Linked DNA regions of Struthio camelus. The protein of the gene in region 2 purifies or fractionates together with the protein of the main gene of each other region. This does not show direct contact. Links are inferred from orthologs where the notes say so. Each region holds a gene or a part of one and is shown on either strand. Other genes may lie near its edges.

Evidence for each region. The genes of interacting proteins can lie anywhere in the genome.
Region 1: the proteins of NAPA (region 2) and SNAP23 purify together in Homo sapiens (affinity purification with mass spectrometry; 4 studies listed by BioGRID and IntAct, with this or other methods). This does not show direct contact. The link is inferred for Struthio camelus from reciprocal best matches to the Homo sapiens genes NAPA and SNAP23.

What each region holds. Positions count from the first base shown.
Region 1 is NC_090946.1:42,632,521-42,639,601, reverse strand, and holds the start of SNAP23 (synaptosomal-associated protein 23), read right to left. Parts: upstream 3,010-7,081; 5' UTR 2,849-3,009; intron 1-2,848. UniProt on the Homo sapiens protein: Essential component of the high affinity receptor for the general membrane fusion machinery and an important regulator of transport vesicle docking and fusion.
Region 2 is NC_090957.1:884,640-892,426, reverse strand, and holds the start of NAPA (alpha-soluble NSF attachment protein), read right to left. Parts: upstream 3,002-7,787; 5' UTR 2,894-3,001; coding exon 2,796-2,893; intron 1-2,795. Other genes in the region: E3 SUMO-protein ligase ZBED1-like, read left to right, coding at 7,228-7,378, 7,640-7,787. UniProt on the Homo sapiens protein: Required for vesicular transport between the endoplasmic reticulum and the Golgi apparatus. Together with GNA12 promotes CDH5 localization to plasma membrane.

The DNA of each region.
Region 1 (7,081 bases), on a different chromosome or scaffold from region 2:
AGACCAATATACTGTATTGATCACTTGCAGTTTAACAAACTCAGCAAGATTTTCAGTCTCGCATCTCTGGCTGACATGCAGCAGTTTTGTGCCTCTGACAGACAGCCTTTCACAGATGTGAGAGACACCTATCACATTTCTCAGATATCCCAAATTAATTCCTTGTCAACTGGTGATGCTCCTTATTTGAACCTAAACAATCAGGATGTCTAAAACAGTCCTTCATCCTTCCTCCTGCACTACTAGTCCTCAGCTAGAAATGCAGGCTGAAGCTCTTCCTTTTTCAGTTAAAGACATTTTGCTAGCATCAGTAACAAAGAACAATCTGTACCTTAGTGCCTATTCCATAAACACATAATAAGCAAGAGGTTCCCAATTTTCTTAGGAGTAGGAACTAAAGCTAGAAGAATGTAGTGTAATACTTTTGGCAATGGAAGACAACAGCTGTGAGAGTTACAAGTGGGGATTAGGTCATTTTTTTTTAATGCTGGAAATATAAGGGTCATTAAATTTGCCTTCTAGAAGAATTTCTCTCTCAGAAAAGCTATTTCCAAGTTGTGAATGAAAATGAGTCAACTCCTGCAAAGCATGGAGTCTTGCTAGAGCACTTAAGGCTTCACGCTGTTTTTCTCCTCAAAATCCAGTCAAAAGTTTTCAGTAGTCAGGAACTAAATATGGCATAGTTGATCAGAAAACTTTTAGACATGCATGCCCAAGTTATTCATTTTCAAAAAGTCATGATTACGCAAGATCTAATCCTTTCTATTCACATGTACCCATATTTGACTACCTCCTCATTTCAGATATATCAGAAAGTAATTCCTGTATTGTATACTTTTAAAAAACTAATCTACCAGTAAATATACCAAAGTATTATCCTTAAAAACCTACAATTGGTAGCTAGATCTTTCCATTGATATTTATTACAAGTACCAGGGAAGAAATAACAAATAGCCCCCAGCTGATATGGCAAAAAAAAATATGATTGAAAAATTCAGCCTACGCCGTCTTATGGGCAATTGTGTTATAAACAAAGATAGGAAGTGCAAGAAGACACAATCCAGATGTCTCAGCAGCAGAACGAAAGCCAGGATCTCATGAGCTATAATTTTAGCCATCAGTGAACCGGTATAGCCTCAGAAGATCACGGATGCTCTCTGTTCCTTCACCTGTAAAGTGAGCAGTTGCCTTCTCCAAAAGATGAAGAACATTAACAGAACTATTTTTAGAAAAAATTGAAAATAAATTATGAAAGTTGTGTGCTCTTGCACAGATTAAAACTAGACAGTTTACAGAGTAGGTGACTTGATACAAAAGTACAAAACAAAACAAAAACATTTGCATCACCAATGCAGGAGCTGCTTTTGAAAAACCTTCCTTATTCAAATAGAAAATGCTACTTATGTTCAGCAGCTGAAATTCAGCCCAGCAAATACAGGCTGGTACAAGGTATCAGCACCAGAGCGTACTCCTCCAGGCTATTATGTCTACAAGATAAATGAATAAAGCATCTGTGACACTGGGGGAAGGGGCCAGAACCCAAGAACAAGAAACCACTCTGCATGCTTCCTGCTTTCTCTTATCAGCTTCCTGAACACACTGCACAGAGGAGACAGCCAAAAGAATAGGCGCTAGCAACACCACCTCCTCTATGCTATGTGTTCTCTTCTATGCTAGTTCCAACAAGCAATTTTTGTTGCTGGAAAAGCCTCGTGATACCTCCTCCAGTTTAGTTATTAGCCAATACAAGTTAACAAGCAACTCTAGATCAACATACAGACAGTAACAGCTGCTATTTTGTCTGCCTAACGAAGAACACTGTGCAAAAAGCTATACAATCAGCTACTTAAAAACCCTGCAGAATCGGGGCGCTAAGGCATACAGACTAGTTACCAGACTGCCAGTAAGGAATTCATTGCTCAAACCAAAGAATCATGCAATTGACATCCAGGGAGGTTTTTCCTTTGCCCCTAAATGCCTTCCTGTATAGCTGTTCTACCTGCAGCAGAGAATTAGCTTTTTCTTTTTTTTTTTTTTTAAATGAAGGGAGAAGTAAAGGAAAACTCAGCTACTTAGTTCTGAGTCCTGAATGCCTATTGCCCTCAGAAAAAGGGAACACAAATAGCTAGGAAAGCTGTATAAAGAAGTTCCAAAGCTTCCCCAGCCCATTTGTCTGGGTTGAGGAATTGTGTGCTGTGTTACACCTTTGTGTTAAGCAGTAATTGCACTCTGCCCGAGATAAGTCTTCAAAAGAGAAGAGTGAAAAATAAAGCTGACTATTCTTTATCAGTTTCCTAGGAGGGCTAAAGGTTTCGAGATCTACAGTTAAACAGAGACCCACAAGTTACTTCTAACACTTATTGTTCGTACCTATCAGAATTTTACCAACTCGTGTCTAAAGGCAGGAAACCATAAGAGTTTAAAAACAGCAATAACAGGAGGAGTGCCTCCGGTAACATACAACCGGATCAGTTCAGTCAAGCACAGAAGAAACATCCGAAAGCCGCCCAGGATCCTCCCCCGCCCGCCCAGCGCAGGGCTCGGACCCCAGCGGCACGGGCCTCTCGGCACGGCGAGGCCAGGGTGGAGCAGGGGCTGCGCGCAGCCCCAGGCCCCGCCACACCAGCGGCCCTCCCGGGCAGCCACGACCCCGTCACCGGTGCCCTTCCAGCCGCGGCCCCGGCGGGGCCGAGCCGTTAACGGCAAGGCGGAAGGGGACTCGACCTGCCAGCCTGACTCCCGCGGCCGCCGCCCCGGCTGCTCCGCTCGGGGCGCGGAGCGGCGAGTCGGCAGGCTGGGGCGGCCACCACACACGCCTACTGCTACTGCTGCCGCCGCCGCCACGCACCTGTCGTCGTCGCCACCGCTGCTGCACGCCCCGCAACGGTCGCCACCCTTAAGCCAGGCCCCGCACCCCTCGCCGCCCCTTTAACGGCCCAGCGCCCGCCCGCCCCCGCTGCGGAGCGCCCACCCGCCCCGCGCGTCACTGGCCACCGCCCCGCCCCGGAAGGGGAAGCCAGCAACCCCCGGCGGACGCGGCGCCGCGCGCCACACTCGACATGGCGGGAAAGAGAAGCCGCCCGCCTGCCTGCCCGCCCGCCCGCCCGCCTGCCTATAGCGGGGCCGCCGGCACCTCGTGGGAAACGTCCGGCGGCGCGCGCAGGTTGGGTGCACCCAACATGGCGCCATGAGGTGGCTGACGGGACTCCTGCGCATGCGCCAAGGCGCCGCGGCGCTCCGCCGGTGGGCGACGGCTGTACGTGGCCGGTGCGATAGGGTCCGGGTTTTGCCAGTTGCAGCTATGCTAAATAAAGACGTAGTATGTCGGTAGCCCCGTTGGAATCAGTGAGATTTTTCTGAGAGTGAGGTACCCGTCACTCTGAGGAAGGACCTTAACCACTCCTGTGTAACTAGAGGGAGAAAGAGGGCAGGGGCCTCCGGCAAGGGGAAGCTGTGGGTCTTGCGCTTTATAGTTGAACTGTGCTGACTTTCCGTGTATGTTTTCCTCCTGAAGTGTAACTGATTTTTTCTGTGCTGAGGTTGCCGTTAAGATCATATACCTTCTGTAATGTTGTTAACCCAGGGCAACATCAGCACTTCTCAATGCCATCAGGGCACAGAGTGGGCTGCGCTGCTCTTCTAAGGCTAATGAAGTGCCCTCTCGGGATGAAACCTCTGTGGTCTCAGAGGCGGGCCTTGTTTCGCTTTCCCTTACAGCATCCAGAGCCCCCTTTGGCTTACGCTTCTTGAGAGGTCCCACTGGACTGAGGTTTACTGTGTGTTACGCAGCCCAGCCACAAGCACAGGCACTTGTTCTTAAGCCTTTCAGACTGTTCCTGAAGGTGATTTGTCAGGCTAGCTCAGCCTGTGCTGGTCCTAGCACAATTTCTGTGGCTTCTTGCTACTGCTATGTGTGTGATTTTCAGGAGCAGGTTTTTCGAGCAGTAGCATACAGCACTACAGCACGGTTCAACTATGCATGTTTATGGCACTATACTGACTGATAATAACGATGATTACTATTGTTATCGGTAACTAAACGTCCCGAACTGACAAGCATGTATCCTACCGCAGTGAAGTAAGCGGGTATTTCCTCTAACACCGCTCCGCCGCCCGAACTACACTTCCCAGCAGGCAGCGCGGCGGGGGCAGGCGGACTTCCCGGCATGCAGAGCGGCCGCCTCCCTGCTGGCGGATTGGCTGGGGCGCGGGGTTGCCCCGCCCCGCCGTGCGCCGCGGGTCTCTGCGGGGTCGGCCCGGCGCGGGCGCTGGCGCGGTGCGAGCGGCGGCGGCCCCGGGGCGGGCGGCGGCGGGGCCTGCGGGGCGCCGGCCGAGTGATGGGTTGGCGGGCCGCTGCCCTGGCGAGGGCTGCGATGTGTGAGTGGCGGAGCGGGGGGCCGAGCGGCGGGGCCCCCCTGGCGGCGGGGTGCGGGGAGAGCGGGGCCGGCGGCGCGGCGGGGTCGCAGCGGCCGCCGGCCCGGCCGGACAGGGCCAGGCCGGGCCTGGCCTGGGTTTGCTCTGTGGCACGGCCGTCGCGGGTGGTGGTGGCGGCGGCGGCGGCGGGGCCCCCTGAGCTCTGTGGTCGGGTTCAGTGCAGAGCAGGTTCTCCGCTGCGGACTGTTGGCTGTCGTGTTGTCTCTTCGCACCCGCTAGAAGAGCGTCCGAGGCAGAAACGCAGCTTTGGGTTCAGAGTTGCTCGGTTACCTTCCTCACACTATAAAGCTAAAAAGTATATCCTCGTGAAAGCGTGTATGAATGCGGCGATAAATGCGGCTGGTAACCTGAAAAGACTGAGACCACTTCTGTGGAGTTTCTGATACGGGTCTTCATGACATAATGAAATATGAGCTGTTTAAAAGTGTTTGTTATTGCAAGCAGAGTAGTTCATACACAAACTTAAGTTACAGTAAGAGCTGTTCAGGAGGGCTTATGACCTTCAACTAGGAAAAACTTTGTGAATGTTGAGCGGAAGTAGCATTGATGCTTAAAGTTTATACAACTGCTCTGTAAGGGCTAAGTTTGTTTTGAGTGGTTTGCTTTTTGACAATATAATATCGTTTTATATTTTTCTATTCTTATTGCTAGTGGTCTGGTAACAACTGTCTAATGCAAGTAAGAAATTTTCCTTTTCTCCTTCCCTTCCACTCAAGCATGGCTTTAAAGGGATTTGTAGAACAGATGAGCTCAGAGGATTGAGGTGTGGTGGACTTTGTTTTCAACATGAGTTCTTGGGGCTGTTTTTCTCAGACTTCCTCTGCTTCTTGTTTCTATCCTTCATTTGCTACTTCTTTCAATCAAGCTTTAATTACTGTGTTGAGGTAACTGATTGCTTTGCTGGACTGATAGGTCCTCTCCTAAAAATACTTAAGCCTTCTAACAACTTCTTTAATAGTTTTTTGGAACTCTGAAATTATCTTCCTAGTAGTATTGCAGTGTCTGGGCTGAATGTTGCAGATCCTTAGGGCCAATGTAATATGACTTTGTAACTTCTTTACCTTAGAAAATATACTCCAATCCTGACCTGAAAAGAGACCGTCTTTTTTATTAAAGGCAACTGCATTTTTTTAGTTCTTACTTGGCTTCAGCCAAGAGTGAAAGGCAGCTGCATTCACATCACCAATACGTACCAGTACTGACTAGCTTTGTTTGTAAAGTTTGTTGAATAGGTATGGTATTGCAGTAGTTTCAGTTCAGAACAAATCACTGGTTTTAGCCAAACTATGTTAGCCTGTTACCTGTATCACTGTGACCAAAGTTAAGGTACCTTCTAGCCCATGTCTCCAAAGGGGTCAAGTGTTTGAAGAGGTGGCAGCAAAATACATCTTAATATATGCAAGGTTCTGATATCCAGTGCAAAGAATAATAACAATCACTAACATATAAGTACATGTTTAAATTGTGTACGAGGATGCTAGGTTTTGTAGATAACTTCGTCAAAACATCTAGATAAAATTAAGGCATTTTTTTCCGTTGGGCTTTCACTTCATCTTGTAAAGACAAAATTCATAAGATATTTGGAGTCAAGTTTAAATTGATGAAATTCTTTTTAACATCTGATAAGTGTCTTCTGTGAACTCTGCCACCAGATGGTGTCATAAGATTTGAGATGTGACATGACTCAAACTGGTTATAGGAAAAATAAGAGGATATTATGCATTGTAACTTACTTCTTTCTTTCATAAAAATGTTCTTATTTCTTGTGTAAGCAATTTTTTCCCCCTCATCTACTTCTCTTAGGCTATTTTTCTTTTTGATCCCAAGTTGATAAAGCCCTGAATAGTCAGCCCTGGGACCAAGTACCTATATTACAGAGGTGTAGGTATTCAGACAGGACCCTGTATTCTTATTGCTTGCCTGTTAATGATTCCCAGCTCAGTGTTTGGGATCCTTAACTTGGTTTTACTTGACACGAGAGCTCCATCTACTTACAGGTGACCTGACTGCCTTAATATGAGAACCTCGTATCACTCTTCAGTGGTTCTTATTGCTCTGTAGCGACTGCATAAATTGAATAAGCCTAATAACTGACTAAATGCTCTGCAATGCACTCTCTAGAGATCATATAGGCCCTTCTTCGGGAGTCTGAATCATCTTACCAAGGCCAGGTACCTACTTCTGTAGTATTGCGATAAGCTGGGTCGGTGCAGTGGGCCGCTTGGATTTGGCTTCTAAGTCGCTATTCCTTAGCTTCCAATCTGTAAAAGAGACCTACTATGCCTACCTGTGAAGGGCGCTATGAGCATAAATACGCTATGAAGAAAAAAAGATACAACCAAGTGTTGCAGAGATAAGTGTAAAACTAAGTGACAGATATTTCTGTCACTCTTATGAGGGTCTGTTGGTTGAAGATCTCTTGCCAAACAGCACAAGGTTATTGAAAGAAGCTGATATGAGTTCTGTTATAAATCACGGACATATTTAAATGGAGTAGCTTATTTGTACCAGATTGTGGATCATTACGTTGATTCTTAATAAAACTTTGTCTCAATCGTTAATAGTTATGTTTGAGGCTGAAAAAAATTATGATAGGAGGAGTACAAAGACAGTGCTCCTCTCAAAGAGGTGATGAGAGGAGTCTCAG
Region 2 (7,787 bases):
TCCCGCACCCTATAGAGTCATCTACATTACTAGTGCAATCAACATTACTAAGCAAGTCATGATTTACACAAAAAAAGGGTTGGGGGGGGGGGAATCACTAATCTGCAAACAAGATTTGTTTCCCCTTTTTTCTCAGAAAAATAATGGAAAATTATTTTTTAGAAAAAATAATTGGAAAATCAAGGCAATGTGTGCTTTCCATCCCAGCAAAGTTTTATCTTTCAGTCTGGAAGAACAAGACTCTTCTGGAACCACAAGATCCAATCACAGAATCAGCTGCTCTGCCTCAAAGGAGAGGGGGGGGGGAAAAAAAACCCACCACCATTCCCAGTGTTTTTATCTTCAGGCGAGAAGGCCGCACAGGCCAGCACAAACACTAGTGTTCACTAATAACTTGACTAAGGATGCGATAAGCATCTCGCAGATTTCTGAAGCCATGTTTCACGTGCTTTGTGATGTGCCTTCAGACCCTCAGAGCTGAAAACAGCTCAAAGAAACATACAACTACCAGAGTTTTCAGTAGCATGTGAAACAGCCTTTTAACTGAAAGAACACTGCGATTAAAAATCATCATCCTTTAGTATTTAAATACCCTAGTTTTCTGTTCTCCATTAATTTGAAGCTTTCAAATAGTAAAAGCAGCGAGATCTGAAAGAAATTCAATGCTATACAGAAGCAAAGAGCGACTTTAGAGCAACAACAAAAAAGCTGGAGAAACCAGGTGTTGGGACTCCGCCACGCGACTGCTGGGAAAGCCTCCCCAGCTGCAAAACAAGGCTAACAAACCTTCCCCTTATCAGGGCCCTGCAAGGGCAAGGGATGAACTCGTTCTTGCTTATGAAACACTATTTACTTGGGTAAAGCTGAATTTTGCAATCTTCAACACTGGACACCTCTGATTTCTCCCCTACCGATCCAATCATGCAAAGTTGGAGGTAGAGCAAGGGCAGAACCAACCAGTATGAATGCAGAACAGCTTCCAATCTTTGTTTACAGAGGTACGTTCAAATTAGACCAAAAAGGTAAGTTAAATTTATGCAATTTGTCTTTCATAAATAAGATCCGGGGAGGAAGGAGCAGAACTCTTAGTCCTAAACAAGCCAGCGTAGAAATGTAAGCTCAATTAAGATTTGGTAAAGAGAATCCAAAAAAAAAAAAGTTTTTAAAACACAAACTGAAAGCAACTAATTTATGACACATTTAGGGGTGAGCACCAGGGAACTCAGTCAATAGAAACATCTAACAGTTTTTAAGAGCCCCTCAGAAACATGCACTGCCTTTCTAAGTAACCTGGCCCTTTCCTCTAAATTTCTCCATCGTTTCTGAGGTTCCTTACTTCACAGCAGCGCTAAAAAGCTCCCTCTTTCCCCCAGCCCTTGCAGAGGACACTGGGCTTGTTGTTTCAGGGCTCTCTTTGCTGTTTTACCCCTTCTTTAGGGCCGTTTCAGGCTCGGAACAACGCTGGGGCCAAGCCGCCGGCCGCCCCAGGGGTCCGAGGGACGGAGCTCGTCCCCCGAGGCCTTGGCTCCCAGTTTTATCCCAAACTCCCCGTTCTCCACCACTGCCCACCTCCCCTCTTCTCTCCCCTGGGTGGGGAACAGCCTCTGGCACCCCCAGGACTCTGCAGCCCCGACACCCCCACGCAGCCCAGCACCCTCACCCCATAGCACCCCCTAAAACCCCTTCCCCACCCCCCAGCACCCTCACCCCCCAGCACCACCTGACACCCTTCCCTGCCCACCAGCACCCCCCAGTGCCCCGCACTCTCACCCCATAGCCCCCCTGCCCCATAGCACCCCCAACACCCTTCCCCACACCCCAGCACTACACACCTCATAGCATCCCAAAATCACCCACAGCCCACTACCCTCACCCCATAGCCTCCCCCCAGCCCCTAACCCCCCCAAGTGCCCTCCACCCTCACCCTACAGCCCCCCCAGCCCCCAACCCCCCAAGTGCCCACCACCCTCGCCCCCCAGCCCCCCACCCCCACCAAGTGCCCTCCACCCTCACCCCATAGCCCCCCCAGCCCCTAACCCCCCACAAGTGCCCTCCACCCTCACCCCACAGCCCCCCCAGCCCCTAACCCCCACCAAGTGCCCTCCACCCTCACCCCACAGCCCCCCCAGCCCCTAACCCCCCACAAGTGCCCACCACCCTCACCCCCCAGCCCCTAACCCCCCACAAGTGCCCACCACCCTCACCCCCCAGCCCCTAACCCCCCACGTGCCCACCACCCTCACCCCCCAGCCCCTAACCCCCCACGTGCCCACCACCCTCGTCCCATAGCCCCCCCAGCCCCTAACCCCCCAAGTGCCCACTACCCTCGCCCCATAGCCCCCCCAGCCCCCAACCCCCCCAAGTGCCCACCACCCTCGCCCCATAGCCCCCCCAGCCCCTAACCCCCCCAAGTGCCCTCCACCCTCGCCCCACAGCCCCCCCAGCCCCCAACCCCCACCAAGTGCCCTCCACCCTCGCCCCACAGCCCCCCCAGCCCCCAACCCCCCCAAGTGCCCTCCACCCTCGCCCCACAGCCCCCCCAGCCCCCAACCCCCCCAAGTGTCCTCCACCCTCGCCCCACAGCCCCCCCAGCCCCCAACCCCCCCAAGTGTCCTCCACCCTCGCCCCACAGCCCCCCCAGCCCCCAACCCCCCCAAGTGCCCTCCACCCTCGCCCCACAGCCCCCCCAGCCCCCAACCCCCCCAAGTGCCCTCCACCCTCGCCCCACAGCCCCCCCCCAACCCCGCCAGGGCCCGGGGGAGGGGCAGGCCCGAGGCCCGGCGCAGCGCACTCACCCGAAGAGCCCGGCGAAGAAGGACTGGGAGCCGCGCACCTTCTTGTCGGCCTCGGCCAGGAGCTGCAGCGCCTCCTTCTCCTTCCCGGCCTGGTCCATGGCGGCCGCTCGCAGCCCACTCCGCTCCGCTGCCCGACGCCGCCGCCGCCGCCTCACGTGACACCGGCGGCGCGCCGCATTGGCGGGCGGCGCCCACGTGATACGCGCGCGGCTGCGAGCGCCCCCTCTGGGCCGCGCAGCCAACCCGGCGGCGGCGCCCCCTGGCGGCCGGGGGGAGGAGGCGGCGCGGGCAGCGCAGGCCCGGGGGGGGCACAGAGACCTTGGGGGCCCCCAGGAGCTGGGGGGGCACAGACACCTTGGGGTCCTCCAGGAAATGGGGGGGGCACAGAGGCTCTGGGGTCCCCCGGGGGCTGGGGGGGGCAGAGAGGCTCTGGGGTCCCCCAAGGGCTGGGGGGGGGCACAGAGACCTTGGGGTTCCCCAGGAGCTGCGAGGGCACAGTGACCCTGGAGTCCCCCAGGAAATGGGGGGGGGTACAGAGACCTTGGGGTCCCCCAGGAGCTGGGGGGGGCACAATGACTCTGGGATCGCCTGGCAGCTGGGGGGGGGCACAGAGACCTTGGGGTCCTCCAGGGGCTTTGGGGGCACAGTGACTCTGGGGTGCCCTGGGAGCTGGGGGGGGGCACAGAGACCTTGGAGTCCCCCAGGAGCTGGGGGGCACAGTGACCTTAGGGTTCCCCAGCAGCTGAGGGGGTCACAGTAACACTGGGGTCTCCCCGTCCCCGCAGGAGCTGGGGGGCACTGCGACCCTGGGGTCCCCCGGCAGCCGGGGAGGGGGGGGAGCAGGGCGACCCTGGCAGGTTGCTACATGGCTGCGTCCGGCCGCACAGGAGCTCAGGCTCCGGGAGCGCGAGGTCCCTGCAGGAACCTGGTTTGACAGCGTTAAATAAAAGCATTTTTGTCCTTTTTCAGGTGTACTGACAGACCAGCGTCAGGGCGGCAGAGTCACGGCGCGGGAAAGCACAGCTCTTTTCGTGCGTTTGCATCCCGACGAACTCTGGGGCCAGCCACGCTCCCGCGTTCCTGCCGGTACTGAATTCACCGAGGATTATTTAGCACCTCCCAGGCCTGGGCCTGGACGATTTAACTGACGCTTTGGGCCTCGACGACAGAGCAGGGCGGCCAGCGCTCTTGCACGAGCCAGTACATCTCCCCGCAGCATCAAAGAGAGGGGTTGCAAGCGGCTGCCGGCTCCGGCGGATTAAGCAACGACAGAAATCCTGGTTTGCCGCGAGAGCAGGCGAAGCGCAAGGAAACTCCGCGACAGACCGGCTCGTCATGAGACGGCGAAGGAGGGACGAGCTCCTGCCTGGCGGCGGTCAGAGCCCGCCGGTTTGGGCTTTCTGTCGAGACACGAAGTCGTGTCTCTGCGCGGCTGCTCCTTCCCTCGCTCTACCATAAATCAGCCGGAGATAATTGCCGCCACCGTTCTCCTCGCTGCGGTCTCCGATTTTTAGGTGGGCTGGAGCTTACGGACGTGTTCCATATGGCGCTGTGCGCGAGCCGCGCGTTGAGGAGCCGTCATCGCCCAAGGTGTTTTGATGCATCTCTGAGCGGCTGGAGGAAGGCTCTATGTTCCTTTTAAAGGAATACCACTCCGGTAGCAGATTTGTAAATGCTGCGACCTCACCAGACACAACCATTAACCCCTTCCAGAGATGCAGAAGCTGAGGCACAGCTTTAGCCATTTGCAGTCGGGGGAGAGAGCACAGACGCTCAGCCACCCGGGGGGCCCTGCCCCATGGTGCGCCCTCTGGGCCACTGCCAACTCCTTTAAAGAGACATTTAAGCAAAATCCCATGTTCTCTATTAATTAGCTAGGACCAAGCTTTGATTTTACAGACTCACAGATTTTAAGACTGAAAGGGACTCTCAGCTCATCCAGTCTGACTCACCCAGGACACAAAATGTTATCTTCCTTTAGTGAGCGCAATAACGTACGTTCTTCTCCCTCAGGGCCAAATAAATCTTTCATACAGCTTTGGTAGGCCACACGTTTAATGTGTATCTTAGTGCTATCTAACCATAGCGGACACAAAACCATACGGCTGCGAGACATACGGAGCGAAGCTGTGGGCTGCGTCTTGCCCCTAGGATGCAGGTTCTGGGCTGCCTTTCCAGAAAGACTTCTACTCGTGACACAAAATATGCCGCTTCTCCGGAAACTTGTTCTCGTGGCTAAGCACTCACACAGTTAAAACTGCGTACCTCGTTAGCAGGGTATCCAGCAACACAACGGGTTCTTAATTTTGCAACAGATCACGATTAATCGGGTTTTTTTTTTTTTTAAACTGGCCGCCCTAAGCGGGTAAAGGACCTCTTCCGAAGGCAAACCGAGACGCCCTCGCTGCGCGCAAGCAAGCCCGAGCTCCCGGGCTGCCGCGTGTGCCGGCACGCTCGCCGCCGCGCTGCCAACGGCGCATCCATCTCGGTTCCCGGCACTTCTCCTCCCAGCACGAACTTTTGAGAGGAGCCCTAAATGAATTACTTCCAGGTGAAAGGGTAGCACTCCCCTTCTCCCGCACAGCTCCGCACTGCCAACAGCCCTCCAGCCCCTGTTGCGCCCATGCTAACAAAGGCGTGAGTATAAAACGACCTCTGTCTGCTTGTTTCTCCATCTGTCTAAGCTTTCTTTCGATCCGTGCACCTCAATATGCTTTTTTTTTTTTTTTTTTTTGCCATGTACTGAACACAATGCCTATAGCTGACAGCTTTTCAGTGCAGGGGAGGTGAAACACTAATTGGCAGAACAAATGAGCCTGCAGAATAATTTTCAGGCAGGAATTCCCCTGAATACAGCAGCTACCTACGGCCGGCTGGAGGTTTTAAATGTGACGTCACCAGCTGGGTTATTTCCACCATCATCCGGCACTGCCTTCAGCCACGCGATGTGACTCTCCATGGCGTTGCAGCAGCTTTTCCACATGCGACGCGTCCTCCCCTCCTCCGAACGCTTCGTAGAGTTACACAAAGTGGCGGCAGGAATCAACGGCTGCAGCAGGCAGCCCGAAATGACAAGGCAATTCAAAGGGAGAGCTAAGCTAGGATTTAATTTTAAGGACAGTCTCCTGACAAGCATGCTCAGGCAGGTGCAATCCATGCAGAAACCGCTTTCCACCTCTCGCTGCCAGAGCGGACGACCTTGCTAGCATAGATTTTTGTCGTGCCCGTTGCCAGATGAGCGACTCCTTCCAGAGGTAAAACACAGAACAGGTGTCCCCAGCCACCTGAGAAACGCACTGTAGCTCACGACATGCAGCTCTCCAGCTTGCCTGCCAGAAGCGCGTGCAGCGGCGTTTTTCATACGTGAAACAACCAGTTCCTTCTTTACTAAAATCCATGCCTGTGAGATATATAAATCTATGGTTTATGATGCCTTCAAGGGCTTCCTGGTCTTAAAGACTGGTGCCAGGTAGCCCCTGCCCTCTGCACCGAATGCTGCAGTGCAGAGGGAGATCCCAGCTCTCAGAAGACTTAACAAGCAGCTGTGTGCGAGCGTCTCTTCTCATACTCACACTGCCAGAACACTGCCTTTCCACTTCTGAAGAGAGGAATAAAGAGGGGAGGTAAGGGAATGACTAAGAAACCCATATTTCTCAGTGCATGAATCACTGATAGGAAGCTAGAACAGACTCTCTTTTGCTAATTGGGGGAAAATCAGCCTGCAGGGTCACTGAAGTATGAAGGAGGAGGTTTCCTTTTCGCTGAACTATATATACTGTTGCTTTACATCCTTCTAATTTACAGCGCTGTCCAATTTGCTTCGGTTGTTACACTGCCACATTTCACTGAAATACCTCAGCACTAGGCAGATAATATCTTATACTTCTAAGGAAAAGAAATTCCCTCTAGGACAGGAATTACCACAGTAGATCATACAGAAAGCCGAATTAAATTACCATTACAGCTTTCCCTGTCTTGTACTGGTTTGATCCTAGATTTCAAACAAAGAACCTAATCCTGGAAACGTTTTAGGACCAAAATGCTATGAAACCCACAGATGACAGGTAGTGTAGGTAATGATTAATTACTGCATGAGACCCTTGTAAAACAGCGCAGGGGCTTAGATAATGATATCACCACCCTAGCGTAACTAAAAGAGCAGTCTGATCGTGCATTAAACTGTGCAATTTTAATTGCTTAGGTCAGAAGTACAGGATGATGGCCCTTGTCACAGCAACAGTCTCGCCTAGTCCACTTTCCAGTGTCTGACAGCAAATACTTAAAGAAAGACTATGTATAAACTGAGCCTTTTCTGGCCCTATCTTCCCAGCTTCTAACCCCCAACCACTTCTGGGTGATAGCTTTTAATAGCCACCACCATTTTTCTAACGATCCTTATTTTTCCCCCCTCCAAACTCTTGCAAAGAACAAAATGGCAGATGTAAACTCCAAGAGAGTATCTCAGTTCTTGCAGAAATGCGTCAAGCCAGAGGACAACGGAGGAGACTCGCAGCCAAAAGAGGAGACAACAGAAGAGCAATCTCTTCCTATCATCACTCAGTCCTACCCTCAGACAGTACAAGGTATGTGTATTTCTTTGGCTTTTTCTCAAAAAGATGTAGAAAGCTGTAAATAGCAATATCTGAACATGATACTTAAAAGCTGTGTTGACACTTTGTATTAAAGATGCAGATAGAAATGTTTTGCTAAGGATTTATACATCAGAAAACGTTACTGTGTGCCTCTGGCTTAGAATAATGAAAGGGACTAAAGCAAGAAGATTTAAAGGGAGGCTTGTATTCAATTTTTAGATTACATTGTGCTGCATTTTCTCTTCTTTTCAGAGGAAATATCAATGGTCTTCAACACATACAATATGGCAGCCAACCTTGGGCCAGCCTCCAGGAGGAAGAGAGAGAAAGGCACCAGTCACGATGGCACAAGTACCTCTCTCTACGTTGACCGCCGGAAGTCTAAAGTCTGGAATTACTA